6 linked regions of the Rattus norvegicus genome follow. The protein of the gene in region 1 purifies or fractionates together with the protein of each later gene. This does not show direct contact. Links are inferred from orthologs where the notes say so. Each region holds a gene or a part of one and is shown in the gene's direction. Other genes may lie near its edges.

What was found.
Region 2: the proteins of Ppp6c (region 1) and Ppp6r3 purify together in Homo sapiens (affinity purification with mass spectrometry; 10 studies listed by BioGRID and IntAct, with this or other methods). This does not show direct contact. The link is inferred for Rattus norvegicus from reciprocal best matches to the Homo sapiens genes PPP6C and PPP6R3.
Region 3: the proteins of Ppp6c (region 1) and Ppp6r2 purify together in Homo sapiens (affinity purification with mass spectrometry; 9 studies listed by BioGRID and IntAct, counting the BioPlex papers as one, with this or other methods). This does not show direct contact. The link is inferred for Rattus norvegicus from reciprocal best matches to the Homo sapiens genes PPP6C and PPP6R2.
Region 4: the proteins of Ppp6c (region 1) and Ankrd44 purify together in Homo sapiens (affinity purification with mass spectrometry; 5 studies listed by BioGRID and IntAct, counting the BioPlex papers as one, with this or other methods). This does not show direct contact. The link is inferred for Rattus norvegicus from reciprocal best matches to the Homo sapiens genes PPP6C and ANKRD44.
Region 5: the proteins of Ppp6c (region 1) and Arhgef2 purify together in Homo sapiens (affinity purification with mass spectrometry; 4 studies listed by BioGRID and IntAct, with this or other methods). This does not show direct contact. The link is inferred for Rattus norvegicus from reciprocal best matches to the Homo sapiens genes PPP6C and ARHGEF2.
Region 6: the proteins of Ppp6c (region 1) and Tiprl purify together in Homo sapiens (co-immunoprecipitation; 4 studies listed by BioGRID and IntAct, with this or other methods). This does not show direct contact. The link is inferred for Rattus norvegicus from reciprocal best matches to the Homo sapiens genes PPP6C and TIPRL.

What each region holds. Positions count from the first base shown.
Region 1 is NC_086021.1:43,351,308-43,354,807, reverse strand, and holds part of Ppp6c (serine/threonine-protein phosphatase 6 catalytic subunit), read left to right. Parts: intron 1-91; coding exon 92-187; intron 188-3,335; coding exon 3,336-3,401; intron 3,402-3,500.
Region 2 is NC_086019.1:210,188,310-210,191,809, reverse strand, and holds part of Ppp6r3 (serine/threonine-protein phosphatase 6 regulatory subunit 3), read left to right. Parts: intron 1-2,654; 5' UTR 2,655-2,660; coding exon 2,661-2,887; intron 2,888-3,500.
Region 3 is NC_086025.1:122,231,044-122,233,784, forward strand, and holds part of Ppp6r2 (serine/threonine-protein phosphatase 6 regulatory subunit 2), read left to right. Parts: intron 1-479; coding exon 480-636; intron 637-726; coding exon 727-815; intron 816-1,527; coding exon 1,528-1,723; intron 1,724-2,741. UniProt on the Homo sapiens protein: Regulatory subunit of protein phosphatase 6 (PP6). May function as a scaffolding PP6 subunit. Involved in the PP6-mediated dephosphorylation of NFKBIE opposing its degradation in response to TNF-alpha.
Region 4 is NC_086027.1:63,743,941-63,747,440, reverse strand, and holds part of Ankrd44 (serine/threonine-protein phosphatase 6 regulatory ankyrin repeat subunit B), read left to right. Parts: intron 1-825; coding exon 826-1,038; intron 1,039-3,500. UniProt on the Homo sapiens protein: Putative regulatory subunit of protein phosphatase 6 (PP6) that may be involved in the recognition of phosphoprotein substrates.
Region 5 is NC_086020.1:176,405,599-176,409,098, forward strand, and holds part of Arhgef2 (rho guanine nucleotide exchange factor 2), read left to right. Parts: intron 1-291; coding exon 292-368; intron 369-1,327; coding exon 1,328-1,497; intron 1,498-2,711; coding exon 2,712-2,779; intron 2,780-3,500. UniProt on the Homo sapiens protein: Activates Rho-GTPases by promoting the exchange of GDP for GTP.
Region 6 is NC_086031.1:80,061,041-80,064,540, reverse strand, and holds part of Tiprl (TIP41-like protein), read left to right. Parts: intron 1-1,403; coding exon 1,404-1,466; intron 1,467-3,368; coding exon 3,369-3,500. UniProt on the Homo sapiens protein: May be a allosteric regulator of serine/threonine-protein phosphatase 2A (PP2A). Isoform 1 inhibits catalytic activity of the PP2A(D) core complex in vitro. The PP2A(C):TIPRL complex does not show phosphatase activity.

The sequences.
Region 1 (3,500 bases):
TTGGTTTGATTTGCTTGTTTTGTTTTGTTTTTTACCTTTATTTTTAAAACTTGTTGTAAAACTTGGCATTTTCTTTCCTTTCTCCTTTCAGCGGCTATGTGACTATGTTTGTGATCTGCTCTTGGAAGAGTCGAATGTTCAGCCTGTATCAACGCCAGTAACAGTGTGCGGGGACATACATGGACAGGTAAATTTCGCAAGGAAGTTTTAGTGTTTGTACTGCCAGTGATCCATTTGTTTCTAACTTGTGCTGCAAAATAAACAAAACAAAACCCAACTGGCGATTAGGTGGTGTGAGTCTTCATGCCATGAGTGGTTTTTGGTTCACTGGCAAATAAAAGCAGTGGTCAAATACGTCATAACCTTTTTCTGAATTCCACTTGTAAAGTATATAGATTGCTGTGTTGTTCTGTGGAACAGTGTGGGGCATTCTGTGAAGGTGGAAGACGCAAAATATAAGATAAACACTAATGGTAATTACAGTTAACATGAAATGGTTGGATTTTAAGCACTTTCTTGTTCATTCAATTATGTCTTATTAAAATCTGCTAATTTCTTTGCTGAGAATGAGAATAGCAAAGGTTCAGAAGAGAAATATTGCATAATTTTATAGCAAGTCACTGGTAGAATGAGATGAAAGCGATTTAGTTCATTTTTTTTCCATTGGGACTGTAGGATCTGAAATACCTGCTAAAATTTTTTCATTTTTTTTAACTTTAAATTTTATTATTTTAATTGGGTGTGTTGTGTACTGTAATGTGCATGTGTGTGCAGGTGTGCTTTGAGGCCAAAGGAGTTGGATCTCCTGGCAAGGGAATTACAGATGGTAGTGAGCCACCTAATATAGGTGCCAATAATTAAACACTGGTCCAGGAAGAGCAGCACACGCTATTAACTGAGCCATCTCTTCAGCCACCACCTGCTGCCTTTGTCTGTTTATAAGAATTCTAACTCACGGACTAGAGATTACAGTTTGACATTAGAGCCTACTGATAGTGTTCTAACACTACCTGACTGGAGAAGTTCCTCACTGGGAACTAAAGGCTGAGGAGTTTACTCATACCCTGCTGTGGACATACTTTATAATTGGGACAGTAGGACCTGGAATATGTTCCTAACAGTCACTCTACCATTCAACTGACTGACTGCCAGTTCCCTTCCTAATGTGATGGTGTAAAGGGAGAAAATGTGTCTAATTTGTTCCTGAATAGAGGCTGCTTCATAAATAAAAAAACAGTTTAGCTACCTTAAACGCTATTTCCTTTTTGCTTTTTCAAACACTTTTTTAGACAGTGACAGTCCTGCCTCAGCTGCCTAAGTACTAGGATCATAAGTAGGAGCTTCTTCTGTTTGTATTTTGGCTTGTCTGTTTGTTTGTTTGTTTGTTTGTTTGTTTGTTTTTATGTGTATGGGTATTTTTTCTGTATGCCTGATGCCTATGGAGGCTGAAAGAGGGCATGGGATTTCTTAGAACTGGAGTCTGGCATTACAGATAGTCGTTAGCTGCAGTACAGGTGCTAGGAACCAAAGCCAGGTCTCCTGAAAGAGCAGCCTGTGCTCTTAACTGCCGAGTCATCTCTCCAGCCCCTCTTTTGGTTTTTTGAGGCCTGAAACTTGGTATCCTTCTACCTCAGCTTATTAGTGGTAGCATAACAGGTGTGTGCCACCATACCATATGACCAAGACTTTTTAATATGTAAAAAATAAATATGAAATTGCAGTCTTTAATTTCAGGATCAAGTTATGAGTTTAAATTAATGTATTGGCAATAACGTGGTGATGAGAAACATTGGCATTATGATTAGGGAATAGATTATATACTTCAAAAAAATGTGGATTGGGCCATATACCGGCTACCTAAGCTACCTGAGCTTGCACACAGATTCTCTAAACGGGGCCTCCGGACCTTGCAAGTGGTAAAAGCAGGAGAGAGAGAGAGAGAGAGAGAGAGAGAGAGAGAGAGAGAGAGAGAGAGAGAGAGAGAGAGAGAGAGAAACTTCTAGTGCACAGGGTATGATGGTGCATACTTTTAATCCAAGTTTTGGGTCTGCCTGGTCTACATAGTGAATTCTAGTACAGATAATGGCTATGTAGAGAGACCCTGCCTCAAAGAACCAAAAGAAACAAAAAATCTTCTTGTGCTTTACTGTGACTAAGGGGAGTGACTCCAGTTTTGCTTAAGATTGTCCTCACTCAAGCAGCAAATATTATTAGGACCTCTTGGTGTGGAGGATACGCAGCTCTGTGCTCTGCTGTGGAATGCGAAACATCCCAGAGATAAGTTTTCCTCAAGGAAAAGTGTTCTTGGCTACTTTGAATCATGAGTTAAAAAAAACTGATACGACTTGCTCAGAGGAAAAGGAGGAGTATGAGGGAAGAGTTGTAGGAGAGGGTGATCAGAAGGGGGGCAGTGAGCAGGATGTAAAATGATAAATAAAATTTCTAAAGCTGCTTTTCTTTTGAGAGAAAAGTGACAAACTGGTTACTTAGACTTAGATATTGTAAAGATGAAGGAGGTAAACTAGTAATTTTAAAGGAAACAGTTGCTAGTGACAATATTTGAGTTTACTAATGAAAATTTTGGATTTGGGAAAGTTTCAGTTTAATCATGAACCTAACTTTTATTTTCTTAATACGGGGTCTCACTATATAGCTCCAGCTGGCCTTGAACTCACTATGTATGTAAACCAGGCTTGCTTAAAACTCCATCCATCCTTGCCTCTCAAGGACTAGGATTAAAGAAATGCCTGAAAGTTTCTGATACTTTTTAAAGACTTTTCTGATAAGTGATGATGTTAGCAAATATTTAATGACATATAAAGAAGTATCATTTCATACTCCTAATGACCAGTATATCATTTACTCAAAGCAGGTGGCAGTAGTCTGACCATATTGTGGTATGGTGTTATATTCATTCTAATATGATTTTAGATTTTATATTGTGAATTAATCTTTATTTGTCTTGTTGGATTTTGACATAGTATTTGAAATAAAGTATGCATTATTATATGAGAATGCTAACAAACACTGCTCCTCTTGGTGAAGCAGAGGCAGGAATTGCAAAATTCAAGGCTAACCTAGATCCAAGTTCTCTGGCAAAGCAGCCAATGCTTTTAACCTCTGAGCTACCTCTCCAGTTTCTACCAATTTGTTTTTACCTTCATGCTTTTTAGGTTTAGGAATTAGATTCTTGGCAGTTTTGCATATACACTATTTCTTCTTTCAAATGTAAATATTTGAAATCTATTAAACTGTTTCTATACATGTCTTATTCTCAATTTATCTTACTCATTCACAGGAATTTGTAATTAGCATATATTGATTTTCTTTTACAGTTTTATGATCTTTGCGAACTGTTCAGAACTGGAGGTCAGGTTCCTGACACAAACTACATATTTATGGTATGTAAATGCTGGTAATGCCAGGTGCTTCTTTAAAATAAAAGGTCCTGACTTATTACATGCAAGTTCTATAATTGCTATTTAAATGTATGAAAAGGT
Region 2 (3,500 bases), on another chromosome or scaffold:
CCTCCCGGTGGAGCTGTGTTGTTTGCTTCCCCACCCCTCATGTATCCTTTTCAAGTGAGGAGTGTGAATTTGGGTCATGTGAACCGAGCAGCTGCTGTTTGTCCTTCCTTGGCTCTTAGTCTTCTTGCAGCTCAAGATTGTGAGCAGATTTGCCAGTGTCCTTGAGAGCATGTAAAGGTGTTATAAACTGACTTTGGTGATAGTTGACACTTAGCAGTATTGCTTTATGAAACTGTTCCCTAAGGTTTCTTGAACTTTTCTTAATGAGGTTGCTTGTTGGAGAGTCAGGCTCAGCACCTGCCATGTGAAGGGGACGCTCCTTGGAACAACCCACTGTGCACAGTCTGCTTTTCAGCTCTCATTTTTGGGTCAGTCAGTCACTTTGACTAGGAGCATGAGTAAAGTTTGCCTCTGTAATTCCTCTATATTTATTTTATTACTTGTTTGTGTTTTTTTTCCCAGACAGGGTTCCTCTGTCTAACCCTGACTGTCATGAGAATTCACTCTGTAGACCAAGTTGGTCTCAAACTGAGATCCACTCATCTCTGCCTCCTTAGCGCTAGGATCACTAAGTGCCATCACCCTTTCCTAAATTTTCTACTTTAAGAAAGTGATTTTGAGAACATCAAGTATGGGTGATTTAGCAAAACATACAGGTATAAAGGTAGGTCCGCTTTACATAGGTAGGACCTTTCCTTTTGCTTGTAAAAACATGTAGATATTGGTGAGCTTTTCTGGTGGTAGTCCTTCCAGGATGCACTTGACTGGGTGGGTGGCTAAGCTGTAGCTGATGGAGAGCTTTTGTTTGAGCACATGGTAGCCTTGTGCCTCAACTCTCAAGGAAGTCTCTGACCCCTTCAGAGGCTAGCATACCTGGACTGATTGGTTCTGTTGCTGCAGAGACCTGGTGCTGGATGGCTGCATCTTGTTATTACCTTCTGGTTAGAAGTGGCCTGTGAGACCTCTTCCACATTCCATACGTAACAAACGAATGCCTTTTTGGCTCTGTGACTTGAAGAACAAGCATTTCATGGTTGTAGGCATGGAGACCAAGTTGAGGAAAGACTATAGTATTGTTGGGGGTTGACTGTCAGCTGTTTCTCTTAGTGACTTAGGATAGTAAGTTTGTCTTAATTCTTGAAGTTGTAAAGTTTAGTTCTTTTCTGGTACTCTATGACTTTTAGCTATTAGTGAAGTCACCTGCAGCTTTACAGTGATATTCCTCTGTTATAAGGGAAGTCACCTGCAGCTTTACAGTGGTATTCCTCTGTTATAAGGGAAGCTCTGGCTATGCCTCTTCATTCTCATTTGTTGTTGAAGATGGCAATTCTCTGAAGAATCTATTCTTCATCCTTCAAAAAAAAAAAAAAAAAGAGTTGCCGTGATTCTTTTTTTTTTTCCCCCTTTTCTTTTTTTTTTTTTTTTCGGAGCTGGGGACCGAACCCAGGACCTTGCGCTTGCTAGGCAAGCGCTCTACCACTGAGCTAAATCCCCAACCCCAAGTTGCTGTCATTCTTGATCTTTATCTGTCTCTGTCTGTTTCTCAGTCTCCCTGCCTGCCTGCTTTCTCCTCTTCCCTCTCCCCCTCCCCCTCCAGTTTTTCTCTTTTAGACCAGACTAGACTTGAACATGCAGTAATTTTCTTGCTTTAGCCCTCCAAGTGGTAGAATTTGAGGTATGAAATATTTTTGCTTAAAATTTTTTTTTAAATTAATGGGCAACATGCTTGTAGAGGTCAGAAGACAACTTGGAAAATCTAGCTCGTTCCACCCTGGAGTTTGGTGATCGAATTCTAGTGTTCAGACTTGTCAGCAAGCTCCTTTTCCTGCTGAGCCATGATATCCTCCTTCAGCATTCTTTTTGTTTGTTTTGTTTTTTTGAGACAGGGCGTCTGTATAGAATCCTGGTGATGACTATGTAGACCAGGCTGTCCTCAAATACACAGAGATCCTCTCAAATCTTTCTCTAGAATGATGGGATTAAAGATGCAGGCCACTGTGTCTAGCCAGCATAAAAATTCTTAAAGTATGAATGAATTACTTCTTTTCCTCTTACTTTTATTGACGGGGGAGGGTGGGGGATGACAGATTCTTGCTGTGTGGCTCAGGCTGGCCAAGAACTTGTGATCATCCTGTCTCACTCTTGAAAATTTAAGAGTTTTGGGTATGTGCCAGGCTGACTTGGATGAAATGCTTTTACAGGTTAAAATCATTCCAAACTTTTGTATTCAGCATTTTCAACATTTTAGCCAACTGAAAATATTTTCTGGGATGGAGTGATAGCATCTAATTTCGATTCCCAGCCCCATTTGTGGCTTACAAATATCTGTTAACTCCAGTCCTAGAGAATCTACCAGCCTCTTCTGGCTTCCAGGACCATTCCGTGCAGGTCATGCACATATAAATAAAAGTGAATAAAGTTTTTAAAAAGTCTAAAAAGAAAGCCAATAAATAAATTCTTTAAAATTTTTTTCTAAGAAAGAAAAAAATCCTACTAGTGTTATTCATTAAATCATTTTGCAAGTTAAGTGTGAAACTGCTTTATTTTTGTGTCAATGCCAAGTTGGCATTGTAGATCAAAATTGAACTGAAATTTGGTTTGTGGAAAATTAGTAAAGCCTGAATTTTATGAAAATCTTTCTTTGTCTCGTTTAGAACAGCATGTTTTGGAAATTTGATCTTCACTCATCATCCCACATAGACACGCTTCTAGAGAGAGAAGATGTAACACTGAAGGAGCTAATGGACGAGGAGGACGTTTTACAGGAATGTAAAGCACAGAACCGAAAGCTCATAGAGTTTCTGTTAAAAGCAGAATGTCTGGAAGACTTAGTCTCATTCATTATAGAAGAGCCACCTCAAGACATGGATGAAAAGATCCGATACAAGTAAGAAAATGACGTCTTTGCCTTAGGGTGGGGTAGAAAATGATTATTTGATGTTTAAGAATTCCCTAGAGCCACTATGAACTATGGACAAGATGGTCAAGAGCTACACAGTTATGGAGCACACAATTGATTCTAGAGCCAACAACAGTGAGTCACAAGCATCTAAAATGTTCTGAATCTTCTCCAGACGTACAACATGCTTTATAATAGACAAACTTCTCATATTAGTTAGACATTCAAGTAAGTGTCTTCTCTACTTTCCAGATAGGAAGCCAGAAGTCTATGACGGGCCAAGATTGTCTAAAGGTTTAGTCACATCATTGCTCAGATAGTAAGGTCAGCCCTTCCTCGCATGAGTTTTAGGTGTGAGTTGCGTGGGTCTTGGTGAATAGCGGTGAAGCTATATTTAAGTAGGAAATGACATAATAAAACAGAGTGGGTTGTAAGCCATGTGGTTGCTGGAACTTGAACTCAGGACCTCTGGAAGAGCATCCATTGCTCTTAACCTCTGAGTCATCTCTCTAGCCCAGAAACAAATTCTTACAAACAATTGATTTAAAGGCAATTTTTTAGACAAAGTAGAAAATGTCTTTTAACTTAGAGGTTGGATGAA
Region 3 (2,741 bases), on another chromosome or scaffold:
CCCACAGCAGGGGCCACCCATGCCAGCATCAAAGGGAGCAGAGAGCCTGCTATGACCTGGGTTGGGACAGGTGAGATGGTACCTACTTTGTACCATCAGCCTTCCTGGAGGCTAGACGGGGCCTTACAGTTATCTCATGAGGCACTGCCTCAGCAAACACTGACGCCCACACATGCGCTCTGTCCCAGTAGATGATTTACAAGACCCTTTCCAGGTAACTTACAGGGGCCCTTACTCCCAAGTGTTCAGGGTTGGAGGCCATACTACCCTTTGCAAAGCCCCAGTAGGCACTACTGGGGAGTGCTGCCATCCCTGTCACTTGAGACAGGGAGTGCTCTTCTGAGGACTCCTAACTGGGAGCATCTTGCATTCCTGTTCATCTCTGATGATCCTCTCCCTATCTCCGTGAGTGCTGCTTCTCCCGTGTCTGTCACATACTAGGCCTGCCTACTCCTGACTGCTGCATCTCCCTCTGGCAGGTACTACATGGACAGCAGTTTTTGATGAGCCAGTGAACCCGCTGTCTGCAGCCTCAGGAGCTGCGAGGGATGTGGGTTCTAGTGCATGGGCGGCTGGTCCTTCAGTTGCAGAGGAGAAAGGCTGGGCCAAATTCACCGACTTCCAGCCTTTCTGCTGGTAACAAACATCAGAAATGGAGTCATGCCTGTTGGGTGTCAGGACCGGCGTTGCCCAATCGGCTCAGCCTGTCCTCATCTTCTTTTATAGCTCTGAGACAGGGCCCCGGTGCAGCTCTCCTGTGGACATGGACCACAGCAATGCCGAGGGTGGCCAGAGTCCAGGCCCAGAGAAAGCCTGTGAGTAGCAGCAGCTCAGACACCTGCCTTGACTAGTTCCCAGGCCTGACGCAAGGCTAGACCCCATTGAGAAAGTGGGAAGTGGTTAAGGCCCCAGGTGTGGCTGTCTTTGTGGTGTTGGGATCCTTACATACTTGTGGGATTGGAGTTGGCATGTACTGTTCACTGTGCAATACATGAAGAGCTTTAGGGTCCTCCAGCTTTAGGGGTACAGGGCAGGGTAACATACCCACTAGGGTGCCCTCATGGCTCAGGTCTGTACCGTACAACCCACCTGCATCTTTGAGTCACATTAAGTTATGTAGATGTGTCCCTGATGGGAAGCCAACATGGGACTTGATTGAAAAGTCCTTGCTCTCATCTCCTTCCCAGGAAACTGGACTGGGTTAGAGCAGGTGAGAAGATTGACGTCTTTTCTGGGCATTAGGTTTGAAGTGGCATCTCTGACCCCTTGCTTCCTGCTCTGAGAAGAGCACACACATATCCTACTCATCCTGTGGAGCAGTGGGACAGTCCACACGGAAGCCACATACATAGCAGTCCATGTGGTTCCCGAGAGCACGCACATACACACGTCTAACACTCAGGGAGCCAACATCAGCCTCTCATCTTTCACACTGGCTCATGCAAATCCAAGGTCACTGAGGCCATGGTAGCTGTGGTCTCTGGCTCCTCTGCCCTCACAGATACCGCAGGATTTCTTCTTTTATAGTTGGTCCTACCTCGCCTTGTGCCTGGAACGTGTGTGTCACTAGGAAGGCCCCACTGGTAGCCTCTGACAGCAGCTCCTCTGGGGGATCTGACAGTGAAGATGACGAGAAGGCAGCGGGTGCTGTGGAAGCTCTGTGCGCAGGCCATACTGGAAAGGCCTCCCCGCCACCCAGGACAGCAGAGGCTGCTGCTGGCAGGTGCGAAGGGAATGCCAAGTTTTCCTGGGGGCCCTGTGAACACCGTGTGGCTTCTGAGGGCTACAAGTCACTAGCTTTGTAGCCACTGAGAACAGGGCCCAGTGGCCAGATGTCAGCTCCCTGAAAACAGGTGGAGGCCAGACTGGAACTCCTTGCTGCTGCACCATGGCTAATGATCCTGTGAGGCTGTCTCTAGAAAAGACAGTGCCTCTTTACCAAGGGGAAGGCTCAACTGGAGGGCTGGACTTGTATTTTCTGTTTTAAATGATTAAGAGTAGAAGATAGAACTTGGGTGTCCCAAGAGCTCCCCAGGAACTTGGGAGGACAGTCTCCACTAGAGGCCAGTTTCATAGAATACCTGGTTTCCAGGCTCTGGGACTGGCTAACTCTAGGGTTGTCTCAGATAGTGGGAGAAAAGTGGCCCATCACCCTTAACTTTGTATAGGGCAAGCATATGGCTCTGGCTAGCCCTTTCCTGTTGCCCTTCTTGTGCCGGGCCCTTTATGGTCGGGTACTTGTTGATTCCAGTCAGGTGCCCTGCATGCTCACACAGTAGGACGAAGCACACCTCAGGGTTGGGGACTGGGTCTGTAGTCCAAGACCTGGCTGGGAAGTAGAAGCAACTCACAGGTGGACAAGCCAGAGTCCTCCTGAGGTGTCGTCTGAAGGCCTTCCTTCCCTAGGGAAGGAACCAGGAATGTCACTATCCCCCTGCAAAGAGGCCAGCCACTCCAGCAAGCGTTTCTATTTTGAGTGGTCAAGATGAGAAGATACAGGACCGAGGTGTCGAGGAGCTACCCAGTGACTCTCACATAACTAAGCCCATGTTCACCAGGGAGTTCACAGCCCTGACATTCAGGTGCAGAGAGCAGGTGGGGGGGCTCAGGAGCATAAGGCGTAGCCTGTGGATACAGGATACTGGAAATGGCTTGCAGCCCGTACAAACGCTCTGAGGCTCCACATAAGTTCAGGGTGCAATAGAAGTCTCAGGGCTGGACCCTACCAGGAGACAAGGTAC
Region 4 (3,500 bases), on another chromosome or scaffold:
GACCAGGCTGGCCTCATGCACCGCCACCTCCCGGCTAACATTTATATTTGGTGTAATATGTAATGATCAGTCATTTTAAAGGCCTAGTCAGAATTGCACCTTGGAAGGTGAGGCTCACAGCAGGGGGGAGTAAATGGATGGTGGGGGTTGAGTAAGGAACGGCGATGGTGAGCTTGAACTGTCGGCCAGCCCTCTTCTTCTTCACCTGGGAGCAGTAATGCTCAGGGCGTCTTACCCCTGGAGGAAAGGAGAGTCAAGTGTGGTCTGAAACCAAGATGCTAACATCCAGATCCTTGAGCAGGTCTGGGAAAGAACAGGGAGCCATGGACTATAACACACCTCAGCTCTGCAGGAAGATTCGCTCCTGAGGTGTCAGGCTCCAGCGTGAAGGCAGAATTGATTCTGAGCCTGACTCAAGGGCACAGGGCCCACAAGCCACTGTCTTGCTACCCGTCTTCTCTCTTCATGGTCACAGTTCCCAAGCCCTGAGTTGGGGTTTGTCCTTTACTTCTCTAGCATTGCGAAAGTCTCTTTGCTTTCCACTGTATTTATCCGTCTCCGTCTGGATAAACCCCTCCACAGGCTGAAGCCTCTAATAACCTTGGGCTATGTTTTTTTGGGGGGGGGATCATATTCAATTTTGATTCTTTTTCCCCAGGAGGGCAGGGGGTTGAGGATACAGGCGTTCTCAGGATAACCCATTGGGGAGCAAGTGAGCTCTGAATAATTACATTGATAGGTGGATATTTCTTTTCTCTCGCCTTTGTGGCGAATGGAGTAAATTGGCTTCAGTGATTTTAATTTCCCTTGTTGGGTGCTTTGCAGATTGATGAAATCAATGTCTATGGAAACACAGCACTTCACATTGCCTGCTACAATGGCCAGGATGCTGTCGTTAATGAGCTGATCGACTACGGCGCTAACGTGAACCAGCCTAACAACAGTGGCTTCACCCCTCTGCACTTTGCAGCGGCGTCTACTCACGGTGCTCTGTGTCTGGAACTGTTAGTCAACAATGGGGCCGATGTGAACATTCAGGTATGACACTCCATCTCTCTGCCTTAAACACCTTTGCACCGAGCCTTTGAGCCAACCTAACTACTGTCAGTTTTGCTGTGTTTTCCTGAATCGGAAGCGCTTCGATTCACGTAGCCTTATCCTGGATGGAAATGCTATGGAAACAGCTAGGTTGCCTCTCTGGGCATGATGGTATCAGCATGTAGGCAGGCACCAAGTCTCCAGTCGTATCTCCTTTGTGGATTAATGAATGCTCCAGGATGAATATCAGGCCTTGAAGGCGCTAACTCAGCCTATATTTTAGTATAGCACAGTTAGCTGAGCGGGGAGAGCTGCTGAGAAGACAGAGGAAGGACTAACTCATGACTGTTCCCAATCCCAGCATGCCCTTCAAATGGTTTTCTTCAGCAAGCTGTTCTTTGGTGAAGGATCATTGACCAGATAGTGGCGAGCACTCCATCAGCCACGGAGTTGCTTAAGGACTGCCCTGCTCTTAGTTTGACAGCAGAGGAAAATCCAAACATGAGATGAGATCCCTGGCCATTACTGATTCACAATACAGGAGATAAAACCCACTCAGGCACTTGAGGCAAAACGTGATGAGTGCCAAGAGAAGAAGAGGAGTAAAACTTTGCGAAGTAGATGACGCACATATTGGCTTGTCTATTGTTTGGGGATTAAAAAAAAGAAAGGAGTTTGTTTTTGAGCAGAGTATTTGAGAGGAGCCACAGAAATAATTCGGGAGAGGGCATTCCCAACAGAGAATAGTGTGCACGAGCCGTGGATAAGAGAAGCTGTGTGCGAATTGGTGACTTTTCCTTCCTGCTTGCATTCGGGACCCTTAGAGCACAGTTTCAGGATCTTCCGTGTCTATGTTGAAAAGTCATGGTTTCAAAAGTTTAATTTCAGGACTAAGTTTAATTCAAGATATTTTAGAACCTCTATTTACCATTAGATATTTTACAGTTTTTCTTACAGTCTCTCTGTTCTGTGGCCATGTTATTTTTAAATTCAAAAGAAAGCATTTTTCATTCTGAGGAGGAAGAAAGGTAGCTACAGCAGACCTACAAATGGGATGGCTTCAAAATAACTGGCAGTTAGTGAAACTGAGGTAGGTAATGAGTCAGGCCGAGGAGTGGGAGGGGCCAATGAGGAGTGGGAGGGGCCACTCAAGGGAGAAGCCTATCGGAGGGAGAATTATCAAAGGTTGGCAAGACAAGGGGTAGGACCTGAAGATGAGGAATGGAATCTTGGAAGGGGCGTGACACTATAGAATGGACACATCTTTGTTCTGAGGCCAGACTGCCTTAACTAAAAATGACCTATGTCTTGTAAAATAAGGGAAATAATAGCATCTTCTTCGTGGGCATGTTGTGAAGATTAAGCACGGTTGTCATACCTAATTGTACAGCTCAGAGCTGTCATACAGTAAGCACTTGATATTGTTCCCATTCACTAAGAGGATGGCAGGAGCTAGAGTGGCATAGGAGGCAAGCTGACTCTTATTTATTTTGTGTGTGGGTACAGTATATGTGCTATAGCACACATGCATGTGGGTGTCAGAGGACAACTTGCAAGGAGTTAGTTCTCTTCTTGTATTATGTGGGTTATGAGAATCGAACTTGAGTACCCTGAGTTGGCAGTGAATACCCTTCCTTACCCACTGAGCCATCTCACAGGTTCTGTGTCTAAGTTTTGAGAAACTCATGTTGAGCCAGGTTGGGGACACAGTGGTAGAAAATGTGATGTTTTAGCATAGAAGGGCAATAAAGATATGAAAAAATAGTTCTTAGATTGCTTCAGTCACATAAAGGTGACAGGAAGGGTTGGTTGCCATCCAAGGAGAGAGTATATAACAGTATGACTGGAGAGGCTGAGGGAAGACTGGAGGAGAAAAAAGACACAGAGCACAGGATGAGAAAGAGTTAGGAAAGGGTAGAAAGAACTGAAGGAGTGTAATATCTTCATGAAGGTCTGAGGCTTGTGGAAAGAGAAAAATAGAACCAATGAATAGTGATTCAGAGCCCCACATTCTATATATGGAGCCCATACAGGGTCTCAGGAAGAGGTGAGAAGGCATTAAAGCAAGGAGGAGACCAAGGAGACACAAGAAGCTCACGAGAGCATTAGTGGGTCTTTAAAACTAAGGAGGATAATGGGCATTAGATAAAAGCAGTATCTTTGTGACCGTCCACTTAGTTAACTCACGAGTTGTCTAATATTCCCCACACCCCACAAAATGCACCCTAGTGCTTTGATGCCCAAACACACCTCCTTCAGCCTGCCTGCCTGCTTCTTCCAATTGGCTGCCCAGTGCTCAAATCAGATAATGGATGTGCCCTGTAGGGGTTATGTGGTCAGCCTGTCTCCTTTCCCATGGACTAGAGGAGCTGGAGAAATGGCTCAGCAGTCAATAGCTCTTGACAGTCTTGCAAAGTACTTGGTTTTGGTTTCTAGTACATAAATCCAGGGGGTTTAAAACC
Region 5 (3,500 bases), on another chromosome or scaffold:
TAGAGGCCAGCCTGATCTACAGAGTGAGTTCTAGGACAGCCAGGGCTACACAGAGAAACCTTGTCTTGAAATATTGAAGGAAAAACAAAAGAATGGTGAGGTTGGGGTTGGGGATTTAGCCAGCTCTGGGGAAAAAAAATGGTGAGGTTGGAGGTCAGAGGTCAGAAAAGATGAAGCAATTGCGGGGGTTGGGGGGAACCCAGTGGGGGTGTGCCTGGTCCTCGGAGAGGGGGCAAACAGTTGCTTTGAGCCTTCAGTGCTGACCATTTTCCCACTTTGTGTCTTGGCCAGATGTCCTCTTACTACTGATGACAGATGTGCTGGTGTTTCTCCAGGAAAAGGACCAGAAGTACATTTTCACGTCCCTGGTGAGCCTTCCTCTGTTCTCTCATCCATTTTCTTACCCAGCCCAAGAAAGTCTTGCTGAGTCCAATCCCTATCTATGTAAAAAAAAAAGTGAGGAGGTTGGGTATTTAGCTCAGTGGTAGAGAGCGCTTGCTAGCAAGCACAAGGCCCTGGGTTCAGTCCTCAGCTCTGGGAAAAAAAGAGAGAGAAGAAAAAAGAAGAAACGTGAGATAGCCGCCAGGTCCCGCTGCTGTGCTCGGGCAGGTTTGCCCCGTCAGGGAAGCTGTCATTAACTTCGTTTTGTGGATGACGAAGGTAAAGTTTAGTGCCTGGCGGTCCATGCCTGTAATGTCAGCTCTTGGGAGTTAGCGACAGGAGGATCAGGAGTGCAGGGTCATGAACCACACGGTGAGTTCAAAGTCCAGCCTAGACGACATGAGACCCCCCACATCTAAAAAATAACTAAATAAGTAAGTAAATTTACCATTGGAACAGTAGAGTAGACCTTTCACCCCACCCTTGGGAGGCAGAGATAGGTAGATCTCTGAGTTTAAGCCAGCCTTGTCTACATAGCAAGTTCCAAGCCCATCAGGGTCATAGAGTGAGACCTTATCTCAAAAACAGCAACTACAGCAAAAGTAAAGCAGGCACAAGCCCCAGTGCTGGGAGAGCAGAGGCCCAAGGGTCACAACGTTGAGGCTGTTCGGGGCCACATAGTGAGTTCAACCCCAGTTTAGGTTACATAGTGAGACCCAGAAGAGAGGGGGCGGGGAAGAAGGGAGGAAGGGAAGAAGTTGGAGGGAAGGAGGGACAGAGAATGTATCAAGGGACCCACACGCACATCTAAATTGTCCTGGCTGGTACTGATGCCTAGGGTTTTGGTTATGTATCACCATGTTCAATCCTTTTGGTATTCTAGAACTGAAACCCAGATATTAAGGGTTAGGGTGCCTTGGCTGAATTCTTCCCTTTTCCCCGACAGGACAAGCCCTCAGTGGTATCCTTGCAGAATCTCATCGTAAGAGACATTGCCAACCAGGCGAAAGGGATGTTTCTGATCAGTTCTGGCCCACCTGAAATGTATGAAGTACACGCAGCATCTCGAGATGACCGTACTACCTGGATCCGTGTCATCCAGCAGAGCGTGCGCTTGTGAGTGTGTGCCTGCGTGTACATACGGCTTCCAGTCCTAGGTGGAATACTTCCGGGGACTTAACTCATCATGAGAGGTTGGGGCAGAAGCTGGGAATAGACAAGATGAGTCAAGATAAGAGAAATCACATGAAAAGTTGTAATTTATATCCAGATAACCCAGCTATCCCTCCAAAGCACTCTGAACTGACAACGGTTTGTGTAGAGCTCTTTGGTGGTGGCAGACTTGCCAGCCAGTGACATAGTGCCAGCCTCATACATCACTGGCAGTAGGAAGAAGGCTCTAGTTTTTTTTTTTTTTAAGATTTATTCATTTATTACATATAAGTACACTGTCACTGTCTTCAGACACACCAGAAGAGGGCATCAGATCTCTTTACAGATGGTTGTGAGCCACCATGTGGTTGCTGGGAATTGAACTCAGAACCTCTGGAAGAGTAGTCGGGTACTCTTAACCGCTGAGCCATCTCTCCAGCCCTTACCTCTACTTTCTAAAAATGAAAGAATGGGGGTGATTGAAGCATTGATGTTAGTGAATTGAACACGTTTTATCCAAAATGTTGAGGACAGCCTGGTGTGGCATTAACACCTATATTCCCAATGCCTGGGAAGTGGAGGCAGAAGGATTCAGAGTTAAAGGCCAACCTTAATGCATGAGGAGCTCAGGACCAGCTTGGGCTGAGGCCCTGTCTTAAAAACTACAATAGGCCCAGCAGTGGTAGTGCACACCTTTAATTTCAGCACTGGGGAGGCAGAGGCAAGTGGATCTCTTGCGTTCGAAGCCAGCCTGGTCTACAGAGTGAGTTCCAGGATAGTCAGGACTACAGGAGAAACCCTGTCCAAAAACCCAAACCAAACCAAACCAAACCAAAACCCAACACACAGTTAGTGCTGTAGCTCAATTGTTAGAGTGCTTGTCTAGCATTCTGGAAGCCCTGGGCCCCTCCCCCAGCACCACATACATCAATGCTGCAACCCACAGAGAGTCAGAAGTTGGCAACAATAACAAAAGTTGACAAAATGGCTCTCCCGATGATGCGACCAGAGCTAGAGGTGGATGCAGGCTTTTTATATCCTTTGTAAGCCTGAGTTAGAGAGATGAGGATTGGTGCCAAGAGGGACTAAAGCCACGGTATGAGAGGAGGGTCATGTGCAAAGGAGAGAACGCTGACTGTTAGTGTCTCCCACAAACCAACCTGCCTGTCGCTCTGCAGATGCCCGTCGAGGGAGGACTTCCCTCTGATCGAGACAGAGGATAAGGCGTACCTCCGGAGGATCAAGAGTAAGTTCCCTCCAGGGAGTGGGCTGATCTATACCGTATCCACACAAAATACCATGCTGCTCTCAGAAAGGCTGGCTCAAAAAGGGACTGGAGAGATGACTCACAGGTTGAAAGCAATGGTTTCTCCATCGGAGGGCTCAGGTTTGATTCTCACCAGCCTGGTGACTCCCAATCGTTTAACTCCAGTGCAGTGGATCTCTGATGCCCTGGGCCACCTCATTCACAGGCACATGCATGATGAACATACCTATGAGCAGGCAAAACTCACACAGAATAAAATGATCTCAGGGAAAGTGAAAGCTTCATGTGAGCTGAGAGTCTGTCCAAAATAAACATGAAAAAGAGCTGGGTTTAAAACAATGTGAAGTGTATTGGGGTGTGTGTGTGTGTGTGTGTGTGTGCGCGCGCGCGCGTGTTGGTATATGTAAAATAGACTACTATCTCTCTGTCCCAAGGGCATCTAGTGTCCCCTTGTGGCCTCTGAGGGCACTGCCTGCACATGGTGCACAGATGTACACAGTATATAGACATATATGTGGGCAGAACACCCATATGATTAAAAATAAAGGTTACTGCTGGGCTTGGTGGCCCACGATTTTAATCCCAGCACTTGGGAGGCAGAGGTAGAATGATCTCTGTGAGTTCAAGGCTAAAATGATCTGTAAATCTAGTTTTAGGACAGCCAGGGCTATTCACATAGAGAAACCCTATCTCGGAAAAC
Region 6 (3,500 bases), on another chromosome or scaffold:
TTTGAACCTGGTTGGATTGGGTTAGATTGACATTTCCCCCCAAATCCTTTATTTAGACATTTGTTGTCTCCTTGAAACAACACAGTGGCTGTGATTATTCTCCCCCCCTCCCCTTCCCTGTCCTATTTGTTATGTAGCCCTGGCTGTTCTAGAACTTAGTCTTTCAATCAGGCTGGTCTCGGAGAACCACCTTCCTTTGCTGAGGTTAGAGGCACTCCTTACCACACCTGCTAGCCTTTTCCCTTTGTATAAGCAAAACCAAAGTATTACATTTTTCTCTAATCTAAGTCTCAAAAATACTGTTTATACTTAATTCTATTTTTAATAATTTTTTCCTAAAATATGCAGTAATTTATAAATATCATGTGGTTGATCAGAGTTGTATATACTTGAACATTCATAGCAGTATTGTTTATATAACATGGAGGAACTTAATAAATTTGATTGATTTCTTTATATCCATATAGTAGTAGCAGAAAAATAGACACCCATCAACATTGATGGTAGGAAATAGAATTGAGCTAATTTGGAAAGTTGATTGTCTTACGGTTGAATTTTTAAAGTGTAGTATGAACTTAAGATCTGATGTAGAGGTTTTGAAATGAGTAAGGCTGTGTTACCAGAACTGCTATGATTGATAACTTATTTTTCTTATTTATACTTTTCTGTTATTGACTATGGTGAACATTAATTTTTTTCTTGTTTCTTATTGGTATAAAAAAGACTGCAACCTTAAAGAAATAGAATTTTTTAGTTTTTTTAAACTGTATTTATCCAAAAAGCAAATTGTAATAAATTGCACTTTTCTTTCTGTCTGCCTTTCTTTTGTTTTTCTTCTCTCTCTTTTTCCTTCCTTCCTTCCTTCCTTCCTTCCTTCCTTCCTTCCTTCCTTCCTTCCTTGTTTTAATGTCTCTGGCTATCTTAGCACTTACTGTGCAGACCAGGTTGGCCTAGAACTCACAGAAATCTGCCTGCCTCTGCCTTCCTAGTGTGCTGGGATTAAAGGCATTTACCACCATGCCTTCTTTTAACCTAACCTTAAGTCTTTTTTTTTTTTTTTTTTTTTTTTTTTGGTTCTTTTTTTTCGGAGCTGGGGATTGAACCCAGGGCCTTGCGCTTCCTAGGCAAGGGCTCTACCACTGAGCTAAATCCCCAACCCCCTAACCTTAAGTTTTAAATGGCTGAGTTTGAGGCTAGCCTGGTCTACAGAGTAAGTTCCAGGACAGCCAGGGCTACCCAGGCTACCCTGTCTCACAAAACAAAACAAAACAAAACAAAACAAGATGGAAAACTGTACAGAAGGGTGGGGTTTTTCGTTTGTTTGCTTGTTTTTAGTTTGTTTTATACAGAGGATTCTGTAAAATAAATAAATAAAAATATATTGTGATTTTTTTTTAATATAGGCTGACAAGACCTACATGTTACGAGAATATACATCCAGAGAGAGCAAAATTGCTAATTTAATGGTAAATACTTAAATTTTAAGTGTTTAGATTTTGAATTCTAATAATTCATTTTAAGTCTGGTATCACCCATTCATCTAAATTTGCATCAGAACATGTGTGCCAAGGACCATCCTCTGCTTGTTCTTAGAGAAGTAGTGTCTGAGAGCAGGGAAACAAACATCTGGAAGTCAAATTGCAGGTACAAGTTGACAACCTATGCTGTGCTCTAGACAGGTTTTGCTTGCAGGTCTAAAACCATCTCTGGATGGCTCATCTCTTGATGATCAAATGCCCAGTTTATAATATCAATTCAGTCATTACCCTAGGTTCCCTTTTGATTATCCTATGGATCTGTACCCCAGGACCCTTGATTCTTAAGAGACAGCCAGCATACACGGTTTTCTTTTTTTTAACATCACAGAAGAGTTCAGAGATCTGTCTCCTTTGGTTAAGCACAGAGATAAACTAGCTGGGTGGGGCCTGGACCTAAATTCTTTCCGTCCCAAGCTGACCTTGAACTCAGGAATCTGTCTGCCTTTGTAAGTAGCTGGGTAGGATCTCCTTCGCTCACCACTCCCTAAATCACTTTATCTCCTTTCTTGTATCTTTCTGACAACTTGGCTCACAGCATAGCTGCTTTTGTTCCTTTAGATTTGTGAAGCCCCTCATATAAATTATATGTCATCCTTGTATTTTACATAGTTGAGATATTATATATTTTTGAACTTATGTTTTCAGAGTTCTTGATGAAGATCCCAGCGTTTACCATTTTGCTGAGACATTAGCTACACCTTCACCTCATGGACTCAGAAAGTCATTAATGTTAACGGGGAGTTCATTCCTCGAGGGAGGACTGTGAAAATGTGTACATTGTTAAACAGACGAGTCACGTGCCCTGTTCCAGCCGTGGGGACCAGGTCCTTTTACTCCTACCAAAGCAAACTTATCTTGCACTCTGGAGGGAGTGTCTGTTGGAGGGCATCTCTTCTGAGCTTGCCTCAAGCGCCAGGGCGCCTAGAGATCTTTGCTGTCATTGTCTGAGTCCCACTGCTGATTGGGGAGAAACTGAGATGCAGAGGGCTGACGTGAGTCCCATTGCTGCAGCTGGTGCTGTGGATGGTCCTCTGACTTAGCACCTTGACATTCTAGAATGTTTATTTAATTTTTTCATTTTTTGAGATTATACTATAGTTCATACGTTTCCTCTTTCCCCTCCAAGGCCTCCCATGCTGTACCTTAATCTTCAAATTCATGGTCTCGTTTTCTTCCATAATTGTTGTGCATGTACATTCTAAACACTTAGACACATCCTACTTACTCTATAATGTTATTTGTATGTATATGTTTTTACACATTCTTTTTTCTTCCAAAAACTGGTCATTCTGTACCAGGGTCTGTGTATTCTGGCATAATTTTCCTGTATTTTTTGCTCCCCTGGAATGTGTGAAGCCTTTTCCGGGTACTTGGGTTTTGTAATTGAGTGGCTTAGTACCTTTCTACAAAATAAGTATTTTTCTAGCCATAGTACTTATTCTGTCTGAATATGGAGTATGCTTGGGTTAGAATAGTTACTCAGTAACTCACACAGTATGCTCTGGGCTCTAACTGAAGATTTGACTTTCAAGTTACTCAAGTAACAGAACTAGGGAGGGATTTGATCAAAATGTGTAGGATTCTCTCAGCACTTACAGTAGCACCGTGAATCATGTAACACCAGGTCTCTTGAAGATCAACAACACAGTTGAATGATTCAGTAATGGGAAATACTGTTACTTAGGGGAACACGTAATGATGCTTCTTACATGGATGTGATTTTCCCAGTTTTGAAATTAGCATGCTTTGTGAATGCTTATACTAGAGAATTTCAGAAATTGTCTGAGCCACAACTGAGAATATACTAATAAGATTTTATGTTTTTCCTAGCATGTTCCACCTTCCCTCTTCACGGAACCTAATGAAATATCACAATATTTACCAATTAAGGAAGCAGTTTGTGAGAAGCTAGTATTTCCAGAAAGAATTGATCCTAACCCCGTGGACTCAGAAAGTGCGCCC